Linked DNA regions of Caenorhabditis elegans. The protein of the gene in region 1 interacts with the protein of each later gene in a pairwise test. Each region holds a gene or a part of one and is shown in the gene's direction. Other genes may lie near its edges.

Region 1 (7,108 bases):
AACACATTCTTTGCAGCCCTGAACTTCAAAAACTTCAATGCAGTGTGAAGGAATTTTATGGATCTGCCTACACAATAGACTACATGATAAAAGGCGACACTACTCGAAATCCGCGGCTTTTTGTTCGCAAGACGTGCTGCTTCACACCATACTGTAATGAGCCCGTTCTGTATTCGCACCGTTACTGGTTCCGAAGAAATTGGAGTATGTTGGCAATTATGAGGAATAAGTACAATTCTCAGCATCTTCTTCTTTTTGTTGTGACTTCGTTGATCGGGATATTGATGGTTTATGGTATTGTTACAAAGGTGATGAGTTGGTTCAAATCCAAACAAATGTCACAATCAGGACAGAAGTGTAGGGAGTTGGAGCACGAGCTGATTCTAGAATCCAGTTTCAAGGATAGTACTATTGTGGATGTGAGTTTTACAGATCGGATTCTTCTTTGGAGATGTTTTGGTGACGAGAGTTTATCTCTTGCGCCAAAATTGTAACAGCCTTGCCTACACAAGCTTGTTTACCTACCTCTCTCTTACCCAACTACTTTTGTCGTGCCTACCCATGCCTACCTACCTACTTGCCTATATATAATCCCGCCTCAGGCCGGAATACTTGGTTCATGATAGCCTCATGTTCGCCTAGCTTTCTCATACCTACCTACTTGCCTCGTGCCTGTCTATGCCTAACAACACGCCTGCCTATATTTTCCTGCGGCCTCAGAACTTGATTCATGCCAGCTTACCTTTCTGTCAAACTCCTTTCCTGTTTCATGTCTTTCCATGTGCCTGCAGCATATTTTGCCTCATACCTAGACTTCAATTTTTCAGACCGGCCTGGAAGTGACTGGACGCCTCACTGTCAAGGAAACTGCATATCTTTTATCACAACTTCCGGATCAAGATAAGGTCAAATATTCCCGAATGAAGTCAGTTTCAACAGAAGAATCTTCAAAATCCAAGTCTGCTCAATCACTTGCGGTAGTTGAAAGTGAGGTGGTCGCGGGATCAGGAACGAGAAGGGTAAAGGATTAACTCTAGGACAACCACCTATTTCTTCAATTTCAGGTATTCATAAAACCTCCGCTGAAAACTAAAGCAAAGGGCTGGGGACACACACTTTGGAGCACAGTTCGAACGATCAACTCACCATATGATCTTCTTTATCGAATGATTGAACATGGTCCTTATCAATATCCATTTACAGCTTTGGAGCTACTTTGTGTGAGTTTTAAAATCACAGGGCTTTAAGGTTTTGGAGAAAGTAATTTCTATAATTTCTAGTTATTCGAAGAAACTGCATTCAAAATGGCCGAGGAACCATCTCTTCTCCAGATTGAAGCAGACATCACAGTGATCGGAGATATTCGTGGAAGGTTCAGAACACTCCTGTGAATCTAGGATCTACTTCAATTTTTCCAGATACGCTGACCTGCATAGATGGCTGCAACTAACCGGATGGCCTCCTCATAATCGAATCTTGTTCCTGGGTGGAATTTTGGATAGCGGGGAGTCTGGATCGGTCGAGTGTCTTGCGTTGATTTGCTCGTTGAAGGTGGATTCTCATTAATGGCTTGTTTGAATTTCCTCCAGGAGCAGCGCCCAACCAATCATCGTCTTCGATCTTCGCACGCTCGTTCTGATTGGTTGGAGCGAAGCCAATCATTGCTGATTGGCCGTGTAGTTCTAGTTCTGTAGTTCTGTAGTTCTGTAGTCTGTAGGTCGTAGTTCTCATTGTTGAGGGAATTCAAACAGGGAGATTTGCGAGAGTTGGATAGTAGCGTTTTTGACAACAGTAACCCTACAATACTACTACAGTATCCCGACCATTTCTGGCGCCTTTTTAAAAGTTTTAGCTGGAATAAATTTATTTCTCAAATCAATAAAACATTTTTCTTCATCAAGAAACCAGCATTTTTCAGTGTCGTTTCCCGAAGCATGTCTTTATTCTCCGAGGAGAACCCGAAACATCTCCGTTCCGAATGTCGACTCGTCTTCATCCAGTCATCACAAGAGCCGTTCAATCTTGTATTAAAAGAATGTGTACACATATGCCATTTGCTGCAATTATTGGTAAATCTGTGCTCGCCGTCTACAGTGGATTTTCTCCAATGATTCGAGAGAAGGGGCACATTCATCACCTGTTCCGACCGGTTACTGCAGAGCACATGAACGCGGTCGAGCGACATATCATCTTCAATCAGCCATCGAATCGTGTCAGAATGTATAGACCGAATCCAAGTATGATTTTACTAAAAAGGATGAAATTGAATTTTTATCTGAACTTTCAGATACCGAAGGCGATTGGTTTGGGAAGCAGGCTGTCAAGAGAGCTTGCAAAGCGACGAGATGTAATGTTATGATTCGAGGTGAGAATATTGATAATTTATAATTTTCACAGTTTTTTCTAAATATTTAATTTTCTAATTAAGGACAATCCTACGTGCCATACGGCTACCTTCCGTGCTGGAACAACCGGCTCATCAACTTGTGGTCGGCTCCGGGATATGGTAATTTCAGTGTTTCTTTTTCAATATTCTCTATAATTATTTTTTCCAGGCTCAGACTTTGGAGCAATTCTCTCGATTTCCAAGGACTTGGTCATTACACCGATTTTAATGGAAAAGCAAACTTGAATTGATGAAAATTAACTAGAGATTTCGCGAATAAATGAGTTTATGGATTGTTTCGACGTTTTTTTTTTAAATTTTTTTCCCTTTTTTATCAGAGAAAATCTGTTTCGGAAATCTTTTTTGTTGATTTTTTTGATTTAGTGATGTCAACTGATCACAGTTAAAATTTTCTCACTACAGTAACCATTGCGCCTTTAAAATTCCAGGCGGGACCTGCACCGGCCCCAATTTGTTTTCTCACGCTAAAATTCTGTTTTTCAAGTTATTTTTTTGAAATTAAGGTCAATTTCCGACTGAAATTGTTTATTTTTATAATAAAAATGTTAAAGTATTAATTTTTCCAACACAAATTAAAGAATATTCACCCGTTTTCTTTATTTTACCCGTCTTTTTTCCCTTCGACTTTAATTTTAACTTCGAAATCCTACAAAATGTTGATTTTCAGGACTTCTCCGATGTCTCGGCGCGAGAAGAGCCTTCCGGTGAGTTGAAACTGATCAAATTCACCAAATAAACCCGAAATTTCAGATCGAACCAAAATATACGAAACCACAGGCCAACGGATCCTCATTTCCGCCAATCTTCACTCTGGAAGGGAGCACCCCTTGTAAAAAAACTGCTAGAAAACTGGTTGGAATGAAACCTGAATAATTCATTTTCATTTGAGATTTTTATTTTCAGATCGATCCAGTTGTAAATTCCGTCGATTCTTTGTGCTACCTTGCTCGGAAAATCGTGAAAATGCAGGAGGAAAAGAAGCGGCAGAAGAGTAACAGTTTCTTGATAGATTACCTCGTGGGCGATAACTTCATCACCGAGTTTCGAGAGCAGCCAGCTCAAGCCTCTCCAGCTGTCGATGTCGAAGATCCAATGGTTTCGCTGGTTTTGGGATGTCCGTTTGGAGCCATCGGACAGGAAGTAAGCATCTTTCTAACATCTTATTCTTTAACATTTCGGTTTTTAATAATATATATCTTCATTACAGCGCCGGATGTCTCAAGATTTTCCGTTCCAGAGAAGAAGCTTCGATATGGTTTCGAACAGGACTTCCACCTCAGAATCTTCAAGCTGTAGCAGCACTGACAATACTTACAAGGTTTTTTTAATTATTAATTTTTAAAAAACGTATTTGAATTCAGAACGCCGGAAAGTTCCTTTCACTGCAGGAATATTTGGAGCAAAACAATCTTCTGCCACCATCGACTATGCCGTTTGGAGAGGTTAGTCAATAAAAAATCAATTATTTTAAATTTTTTCTATCTTCCAGAACTCTGGATTTCACGGGTACAACCCCCAAATGAATGTACATAATAATTCTACTCGTAATGGAAATGTTGAGAATCGAGAGGTAACTAATTCCAATCAAATGATTTTCGAAAAAGTCCATTTTTTTCAGCAGCGAAACAACTCCACTTCGCCACCGAGAGGAAATCCTCCACATCCACTTTGCTGCTGCTTCTGCTTCGGAACCGCTTCCGAATTTGCGAGACTTCACACTTTGCCAGCTCCACGGAAAGATGATCGTGGACCATGGTCCGATCACTGCTCGAAGAAAAGGGGAAGAGTTGTGTAAGTTTGTTGAAATTTCCGACCTTCAACAGATATTATCATTTTTCAGATGCCCAAAACTTCGCTCAATGGTCTGTGGAATCTGTGGAGCCACTGGCGATAACGCACACACAACGAAGCATCACCTGGAGGCGTTTGGAGACGACTAATATGTATATATAATATATATTTTTCGAAAGATGTTCGTGTTATATTTTTATGCATCCACATTATATTCACATAATCTATTTACATATCCCACCATGTTTTATCCTGCCCCCCGAAAATTCACATTTATTCGCACCTCCTCGCATATTGATCTCGAAATTGTTTAATTTTCTTTTTGTTGATTTTCTTCATTTTTTGTTCTCTGTTTTCTGTTCTCCAATTCTCCAGTTGTATTATCGCTTAGCGAACACTGTTGACATGTTGATAAACTGAATTTAAAAAAAAAAAATATTTATTTGCAGATTTTATACAGCTATTTAGAATGGTGTGACTGGACGGGTCTCGATCCATTTCTTGATTTGTGGAATCGCCTGGATCTTCTCGGCATGAGCCTTGAGCTCTGGGAACTTGCTGAAATCACCTCCCTTGGCAATCAAATCAGCTGAATGTTGGGCAATAGCCAAGTCAATCCAGGTCAAAGAGTCTCCGACAAGGAATCCGGATCCCGAAGCCTTCAAGAAGTTGACCAAGAATCCGTAGAACTTTTCAAATGCTGGAAGGAAGATGTCTTTCTTCAAAGTTTCAACGTCTCCTGGACCGAATCCCATGACAGCGTAGAAATATGGACGAGCCTCACTTGAATAATCCTTGTATTGATCGGCAAGAGAGTTCACTTGAGCCTCTTCCCAGGCGGTTTTTCCGTTGAGCTTGAACTCACGAGCCAAGAAACGAGCAATCGCGTGGGATTGAGCAAGCTTCTTACCGTCGACTTCGAGGAATGGAAGTTGTCCGAATGGAGCAGCGCAGGCTGGAAAAAATAGTTTTTTAAAATATTTTTTATTCAAAAAATAATTCTCTTGGATTAAAAAAAGGAAAAGATTTTAAGCTATTTTACAAAGTTATTTTACAAAAAATTTAGCTTATGTTTGAGAAAATTATGGAAAAAGTATAGTTTTTCAAAAGAAGTGAATTCTTTAATTGGTCAAAAATGTAGAAATCGTGTCGAGACCACGAGAAGTGATTTTTTTCGCTTTTCATGTTTTTGTTCCACAAAACTGTAGATATTCCCTAATTGCAGGATTTTGAGATTTCCGGCGCTGAAATACGGTAACTATAGGTCTCGGCACGACCGAAATTTCACTGGTACCGTACCCAAAACTGCAATTCACTTAATTTTTTAATACTAACCCAAAAAATATGATTTTTTGTAGAAAAAAATCAGGAAAAAAATCATAGAAAATCGCAAAAAAAAATTTGGTTACGGTAACTGCGAATTTTAAGTCGTTTCGAGACCCAGGCGCCTTCACAATTGAGTAATAATAATTCCAAACTCACTTTCTTTCAATGCTGGCCATTGTTCCTGAGTGACTCTATTATCCTCGTATTGTTGTCCGGCATAGGCGAAAATCTGACGAGACACTTCTCCAGCGCCACGTCCATTGAAGTAGGTCAACTTGTAGGAAACCATAATGATTTTTGATTGAAGTTGTGTTTTTTTGGAAAGTGGATTGCAAACAAACAATTGTGAGGGAAATTGGAAACTTCACTCTCTATTTATACTCATTCGACCACGTCGCTTTTTGTGTCTGAACCTCTCACTTCTCTCACAATTGTCATCAAAAACGTAGGGTCGGGAAGGCTACAAACCACGAAATGGGCGGAGCCCTGAAATTGTGGTGGTCTTTCGGAAAGAGAATTCAGTGGACCAGGTGAAAAGAGGGATATTTCGAAATTGTTGGAAAAAAATCATCATGAATTTTCAAATGTCATCAAAAAATTTAATGGAAAGCTCTAGATTCTAGTTTTGTGGAATTTTTTTTTAATATTACCTAGACCTAAAGTTTTGCACAAAAAAAAATACGGTACCCGGTCTCGAAGCGACATTTTTGCTGAAAATAAGAACGGATGTGCGCCTTTAAAGAGTACTGTAGATACAAAATTTTTTGCTGTGGTCTCATTGATTTTTCACAATTTATGTGTTCTCAATTGTTTTGTTTTAGTTTTTTGTTTAATAAATACATATATTTTGAACGAGAAACTATGAAAATTCCGCAACAACGAAAGGTTGAAATTACAGTACTCTTTCAAGGCGCACATCAGCTTGTATTTTGCGAAAAAGTTGTCGTGTCGAGACCGGATACCGTGTTTTTGGCTCGAGAATCGCAAAGTATCACGAACATATCTCTGAATTCAAGCCTAATCAATCACTTTTTGTTTCAAAAAAAAGTATGTTATCAACATCAACTACAAATTTCACAACACCGATCACATAAAGACACAAAAAAATACACACAGACTCCAGAAATGTGCTTTGACAGGAAAACTGATATGAAAAGAAATGTGATTAATGTTTCGGTGTTTGTTTCTTTTTGCCATTTGAATTTCTGTCTGCAAGTTTCAATTGGAAAAAATCATTATGTAGGCATTATGACTGAAGGTAGGCAGACATGTAGGCAAAAAGGCAAGCAGGAATTTTTTAGGCTGTACCTGACTACCGAAAGCTATCAATCTGATAGAAATACTGAAGGGTACGGTAGGATCGCGTGTACTATAGACTTCTGGAATGTCCATGGTTACTTTGTTTTTATGAATAAACTCCTAAAAAATTTCCAAACCAAATCATGTAAACCTTTATAAACGTCACTAAATAAATTACTATTTCGAAAACTACAACGGTAGACTTCTCGAAAAGTTCTCTAATCCTCCAATTCTTCATTCGTCGAATCCGACTCCTTTTCAGCCTTTTCAGTTGTCTGAATATCT
Region 2 (6,996 bases), 3.1 Mb from region 1:
TTTTATTTGATCGATTATCAATAAATTGAAGCATATTATTTATTTGCAAATGATACTCAAAAAGATAACTTCATGCATGAGATAAACCACACCTAACTTTTTATCACTTGAACTAGTTATCCGATCGGATAAACTTATCATATCGTGAGTATATAAAGCATTCTATTATAAACACATTTTACACATTTTATTTGTTTTAGATATTTTGTATGTTTTCTTATCAAGCTATAATTTTGCTTTCACTTTTAAAAATGAAATGTACATTTTTAAAAAGTATCTCTCTTTTAAATTACTGCCAAAATGGAAGCTCTGTTTTTTTTTACATTTTAAACATAAATATTGTTGGACTTACTAAATCTTATGACGGCATTTTCAGCCATGTAATGAGTTTCCAAAAACTGATTGAAGTAGCTAATGTTCTCAGTTTCCAGGAAATTACAATATTCAGTAACTTAGTTCAGTAACTTAGTTTTTTTTCTAAAAAATCTATATTTTTAGTTTGAAAAAATCTACACAGAAGACCTGACCAATAATTTGCCGGCCACCAACTAGTAGGAAAGGTTCTTCGCAACGCCTGTTTATTTATATTATGCGTGTGCCCCTCTCCCTCTCCCTCAACCTCATACTTCACTTCTCTAATCCTCTATGAATTTATTTCTCCAGGCGGTACATATACTCATATCCTTTCTCCTTTCTGTTCATCCTTTCTGTTCATCCGATGCCTCTCTCCTTTTTTCCGATTCTCCCTGATCATCGTTTGGTGAGGTCGCCACCCTCACCGTTATTATGTACAAGTTGTATGAACATGCCCGGTTTGGGAGGTGATGGTAATCCATCCGTTTCACGGAAACTCACTTTCATTTTGTACTTTCTGTAGTTTTTCGTTGTTGTCTCTGTATTAAGCTGATGACTTTGGAAATTCAAAAAAAACTAGGGACTCAGTTTGGAGTGCATTTCAATTTGAAAAACGTCGATTTTAAGTTCTTTCATCGTTTTTCCCTATATTAGCTTTGCATCCCATTACCAAATTTTAACAAGTCATATTTTTGTTACCATTTGTTTTTTTAAGTGTCAACTAATAAAGTATGTATAATTTCTTTCTTTATAGTTTTGTTTTTAATTATTTATTGATATATCTTCGAAATAAAAATAACCTTTTAAAATGAAGTGAAAGTGTGAACTACTAATCAAAAATGAGGTATGTGTCTAGATTTCAAGAGCACGAAAGATATTGGTGAAGCAATTTTTAAAAATTATTCTAGTTCAATACCAACATTTTTCTTGATGTTCCACATTTCGAACTCTTTCCCTATCTCTCTCTCTCTCCTTCTGCGCTTAAATTCTCCAAATTCTCATGTTCTGTAATTAGCGGTCTTGTCGTGGTCATCACAATTACACGGAAAACTATTTGTTTGTGTTATGTAATGTGTATGTTCTCGCCATAAAACAAGAAATGAAACCTGAAAAACGAGCAGAAACAATTGGCTTACTGCCTATTACGTGTGTGTGTGCCCGTTCCGCGTCCCTCTCATTTCCGCCCAACTCCGCCTACTTTCGTCTCTTTTCGATCACTTTTCCGCATCATTTTGATCACTTTTACAAACACATTCATGCCCGTAGTCCACCACCATCATCGCTTAACTCTTGAAATTTCTGATTGGTCATTGAATTTTGTCTTGGAACTTCCATCATTGAACACCAATCCAATTTAGACTTTTCCTTGTATTTATATGCCTATCGCCTGAATTTCTCTGATCTAGATGCTACCCAAAACAGACTTTTTCCCATTTCGTGTCACTCCTTTTTTGTGGGTCACAACTAATAAATCATGTTGCTCGTCGGTTTCTCGGAGCACACTCCATCCTTTTCCTTCTCATCAATTCAATGTGAATCGACATGCTTCTTCTTTTTTCTTCAGATTTCTTCACTACCGTCGTCACTTTTCGTTTTTTTTTCTTTTTCAACCACTTGAAAATGTGAAAATGTGCACTAGAAGTTTATGAGCTCTTGTAACCGAACACAGGCTCGTTTGTGAAAATGTGAAATGGAATGATGTTGGAAGAAAGAAAAGAACAAATCATGAGCTCCGGGTGATGGAATTCAAACATTTTTCCACAAATCTTATTGGCTTTAGTCAGAATTCTTCGTTCGTTATTCTGTAGAGTGACCCGAGTCAGACAAGCTTAATGAAATCATCAATATTCATTATAAACAAATTGTTTTAATTTATTTAAAGATCATTCTTTATATTATCAGAAAACAAGCTCTGAGTTTTTAATAACCATTTATTCAAACCTCCAAATATTCAATAAATTGGGCTTAATTTCTGTTTCAAAATGTTTTTTAATCAACCAATATATTCTCATCAGTTGTTCTATGAAAATTCTATACATTTACAAGAATTTTGGAGCGATGGAATAAACTAGGTTATAGCAAGTTGATGATACCTTTTCCACTATTTGAAACTCGACCGTTCTGTGAATTTTCTATAAATACAAAATTAACCTCATTCATGAAAGTGCTTGACGGCAAACAAAACAGTACCGAGATCAGATCACAAATAATTTTCTCTTCCTTTTTGTTCAATGTTCTGCCATCAGTCTACATTGTATTCAATTTCATGTTTGATTTGTGCGCCTGTTTCGCTACAAGCTCTTTCTCTGTGCCCTTTCAACTTTTCATCCTCCTCATTCCTTCTTCAATTTTTATTAGTTTACCTTCTCTCACTTTTTTATGACGTGGAATCACTGTATTTGCAGAGATACTTCTTCACCTTTTTCTCCATATTCGACCAGTTCTTTCACTTCTTCTCGGTTTTTTCTTTTCTTCCCTTTTTCCGCTAATAATACCTGACCAACAATTCATTTTCGGCTTGGTCTTGTATAGAAGACCACTTGAGATACTTTTGAATGCCATTCAGTTGCTATATTTTACTTTTTTTTGTTTTTTTCCTGTTGTTTTAGTTGCTAACTAAAAGATTATCCTTTTTGATCTGGCTACGATATAGTAGACAGAAAGAGAAAGTAAAAAATCGAACGTTGTTGACATTTTGTTCACTTTTTATTTCCTTTTTCAATTTTACATACTCTTAAATATGTTGACTATCCTCTATGTTTCTAAATGAACACAAAAATTTTTGTCTCCGTTTTTTGCGTTGTTTTCCTCAACCGCTGCACCCTAGAATTACTGTTTTCCAGAAAAAATAAACGATCGACACACATAAACACAGGAGTCTCTCACTCCATTTTTGACTTTAAAAATGGATTCGCATGTCGGCGAAGTCGATATTTTCCAACAATGCAAGTATATTCATGAGGTTTGTTCTAATTTCAGTTTGTTTTTGGTTTAACTAGTGTCACTAGTTGCACAAAGTTTGAGAGAATATTTTAAGATTTTTTTTTTCTGAAATTGATTGAACCATTTTTCACTGAGTTTATTAAAAAATTGTGTACCAGAATTCTAATTCACATTCCAATTATTGTTCAATTTCAGGTGGAACTCGTAAATATGAAGTTGCAAATGCGAATTCTGGAGACACACATTGAGACAAAAGACCGACTTCTGAGAAATTTAGAAGATATTATAGACGAACAAGAGTCACGAATTGCAAATATGGAAGATTTTATTCAAGGTACGCACTGTCGTGTGTAGTGAATTTTTGTGAAGTTTTGCATGATTAAAACCCCGTATTACTTATCCGTAATCTTAGACACTTACTTGATATATTGTCATGAGTACCGTGTTTTTTAATCCCAATTTTTTGATCGTCGTGTGATTTGGCTATCTTTAGCTCAAAAGTGTTATCTTTTAATACGCATTTTTGTTTTTTCTTAAAGTAATTGTGTTGTGGTGGTCGGATTGGCATGATTTTATAGTGTTTAATCTTTATTATTTTCTACTTGGTTTTTTGGTTGACAGTGCCTTTTTTCAATTTCACATATTCTACCAAAATCATTTCAATCCGGCCGATACTGATAATATTTTTCTAACATCATTACATGTTCACTTTAATTTCGCAAGTCCAAACAAAACTTACAACAGCTTATTTCTAAACAATAATCTAGCAAACGGCTAATTGGAATGATCAGGTTATTAAATGTTGAAATTGAATTGCAGGCCGTGCCACGTCATACACAAATCGGTCAAATATGCTGAAAGGAATTTCAGTTCTTTCACTGGATTTCGGAAATCTTTCGGAAGAAAATCTACGATTGAAAAATGCGCTGAGCCAAATGCAAAAAGTGGCAAGAGTGAATGAGTTATTGGAAACTGATGAAGATTATGAAAGTGATATGACAAGCAATGAGGATCGATTTGCTTTGAGGTAACCATTTTATTGTAATGTGATTGTCTTGTGAAAATAGTTTGAACACTTGAATTTTTTGAAAAGTAGGTCAAAAATGTAGTGTAATTTATTTTCCGTTTGCAAGCCTTTGCATGTTTTCCTGTGTATTCCAGCCGTGATTCTTCATGTTCGGTTCCCAGATCAGTGAGCCCCCAACCAACGGGTGACGTCATAAAGCCATATCCTCAAATGGTTCAATCAATGAGAGAAGAAGGGCATTGGAAGAAACTTCAGAGATGTGCAGAAGAGCTGAAAACTGAAAAAGATGAATTGAAGAGACTAGCATTGGATACAAAAGATGCATTCAATGTATGTATGGCTGAAATGAGAATGATGCTCACTTCAAAGACAACTGATTTCTTCCGAGTTCTCATTGAAAGATACAAAGCAGAAATGGAAAAACGAAAGCAATTACACAATCAATTGGTTGAGTTGAATGGTAAGTTCTAAATTGATTGAAATATTCCAAGAAATCGGAATGATTGATCTTTATAACTACTTTCCAAAAAACTAAAATTTTCAATTTTTAAGGTAACATTCGTGTATTCTACCGTATCCGTCCACAACTTGCATCAGAAACTGACAATCAAAAACCAGTTGTCGTGATAGATGAAATGGATAACGGAGTTGTCCACGTGTCAAACACAACGGGAACTCGGAAAACTAGTGCTGGAGCTGACAAGGTTATTCCAACTGATTTCTCGCAAGATCAGATATTTAATGAAGTTTCTCCGATTATTACATCTTGCATTGATGGTTATAATGTATGCATATTTGCGTATGGACACACCGGAAGTGGAAAAACATACACTATGGATGTAAGTTTAATTAAATTTTCAATAGAACTTTAAATTTCCAATTTTCAGGGTCCCGTCACAATGCCTGGAATCAATCAAAGAGCTATTATGCAATTGTTCGAAACTGCGAAGGAGAGAACGGGCGATATAAAATATGATATTAAAGTTGCCATGATGGAGATATACAATGAAAAAATACGGTAAATTGACTTTTTTTTTAACCTAAAATTGCAAATTCATTTTTCAGTGATCTCTTGAACACTTCCAACACAAATTTGGCAATTCGTCAAACTGAAGAAGGGAGAAGCTCAATTCCAGGACTTGAGGAAGTTTCAGTGAACTCTGCAGAAGAAGTCACGGAAACGCTTGCTAGAGGAAGAAAGAATAAGGTGAATTTGAAACAACTTCATATTCTAAATTTTCAATTTTCAGGCTGTAGCTGCTACTGAAGCCAATATTGAATCCAGTCGTTCTCATGTTATTGTTAGAGTTTTAGTATCGGCCACAAATCTTATAACAAAAGCAACTACAGTTGGTATGTCATTTTTCAAGTGAAAAAATATTTTGAATATATGATTTATTCAGGTCGTCTGAATTTGGTAGATCTTGCTGGATCAGAGAGAGTTTCTCAAACGAATGCAACCGGTCAACTGCTAAAAGAAGCTCAAGCTATCAATAAATCTCTATCTGAACTTGGAAATGTTGTACTTGCTCTTCGCCAGAATCAAAAACATATTCCATTCAGAAATTGTCAATTGACAAGAATTCTTGAAGATAGCTTGAGTGAGTTTCATAATATATTGGGATTTCCCTTTTAAATATTATTTTCAGATGGAGACAGTAAAACTCTGGTCATTGTGCATTTATCACCAGATGCAAAGAGTTTGAATGAATCTATTAGCAGTGTTAATTTTGCTGAAAAAATCGGACAGGTATGCATTTATGCCTTATCACATTTTACAAAAATTAAATGTTTCAGGTATTCACAAAAAGTGGAACGATGAAAAGAGAACCAACACGTAGAAGTATGACTGGAATAAGCAGTGGTCAACGAAGAGAAATCCCAGCATCTCCAAGAAAATGAACCTCATAAAATATCAAATATTTCATCTCTACTTCTCCAATAATCATCTTGTCAAATCCCTGAAATACCCGCTTACTCTTTCCATTCTAGTCCATGAAAAATTTCAAAAATTCAAAATGGGTTCCAACAATTTTTTTTTTCTAAAACTGCTGACTGACCAAAAAACTTGAAATACGGTTTACTTTTTCAAATCTAAATATATCCCCCATTTTTATTATTTGCAAATTTGTTTATGTGTGAGCTTTGAAACAATAAAAATATTCATTTAATATTTTTTAGTTCAATCCAATATTTTGATAGGTGGAATTGCAACAAAAATGAAGCAACAAATTATAAAAACAATTGTGAAGATTATAAGGCAGAATCGGTCAACTGCTTGAGCTGCAAACTTCCATTCGTCCTAAAATTTGAAATAAACATTGTTTTTTTATTAGGCCTGCATGTAGGACTATTTTTTATTTGCTGGTAAGTGTGACTATAAGAGACTGGAATGGTAATAGAGGAAATAAAGTATTGAACTATAAGGTTGATCTAACTCTAAAAAGAAATGTTAATAATGTTGTCAATTGTATAAAATAACTTAAACCCTATTTTGGGGCATATATGACAATATAATACATGCATTACATTTGACCGAGTACGGTTGGCTCTCTCTATCTATCTCGTTGTCCAGACCAGACTCATTTTTTCCGCGAAGTACTCTATGCCTCTTCCCTCTCTAAAAGAGACTCAGACAGTCCAAACAGAAGGACATTCTCTTCCACGGCCAC

The links. The genes of interacting proteins can lie anywhere in the genome.
Region 2: the proteins of nos-1 (region 1) and klp-3 interact in a two-hybrid assay, tested with the Caenorhabditis elegans proteins (one large-scale study listed by BioGRID).

What each region holds. Positions count from the first base shown.
Region 1 is NC_003280.10:10,949,118-10,956,225, reverse strand, and holds nos-1 (Nanos-type domain-containing protein), read left to right. Parts: upstream 1-3,060; coding exon 3,061-3,111; intron 3,112-3,157; coding exon 3,158-3,259; intron 3,260-3,310; coding exon 3,311-3,547; intron 3,548-3,614; coding exon 3,615-3,725; intron 3,726-3,768; coding exon 3,769-3,849; intron 3,850-3,896; coding exon 3,897-3,977; intron 3,978-4,025; coding exon 4,026-4,198; intron 4,199-4,247; coding exon 4,248-4,347; 3' UTR 4,348-4,634; downstream 4,635-7,108. Other genes in the region: spe-57 (Serine/threonine specific protein phosphatases domain-containing protein), read left to right, coding at 17-419, 828-1,019, 1,065-1,220, 1,281-1,372, 1,419-1,551, 1,919-2,237, 2,288-2,365, 2,429-2,506 and 1 more; gst-5 (putative glutathione S-transferase 5), read right to left, coding at 4,663-5,153, 5,681-5,813; Putative serine/threonine-protein kinase gskl-1, read right to left, coding at 7,042-7,108.
Region 2 is NC_003280.10:7,839,158-7,846,153, forward strand, and holds klp-3 (Kinesin-like protein klp-3), read left to right. Parts: upstream 1-3,195; 5' UTR 3,196-3,259; coding exon 3,260-3,316; intron 3,317-3,492; coding exon 3,493-3,631; intron 3,632-4,116; coding exon 4,117-4,324; intron 4,325-4,458; coding exon 4,459-4,784; intron 4,785-4,876; coding exon 4,877-5,163; intron 5,164-5,211; coding exon 5,212-5,342; intron 5,343-5,389; coding exon 5,390-5,531; intron 5,532-5,574; coding exon 5,575-5,677; intron 5,678-5,727; coding exon 5,728-5,925; intron 5,926-5,973; coding exon 5,974-6,074; intron 6,075-6,121; coding exon 6,122-6,226; 3' UTR 6,227-6,496; downstream 6,497-6,996. Other genes in the region: Acetylcholine receptor subunit alpha-type acr-7, read right to left, coding at 6,507-6,626.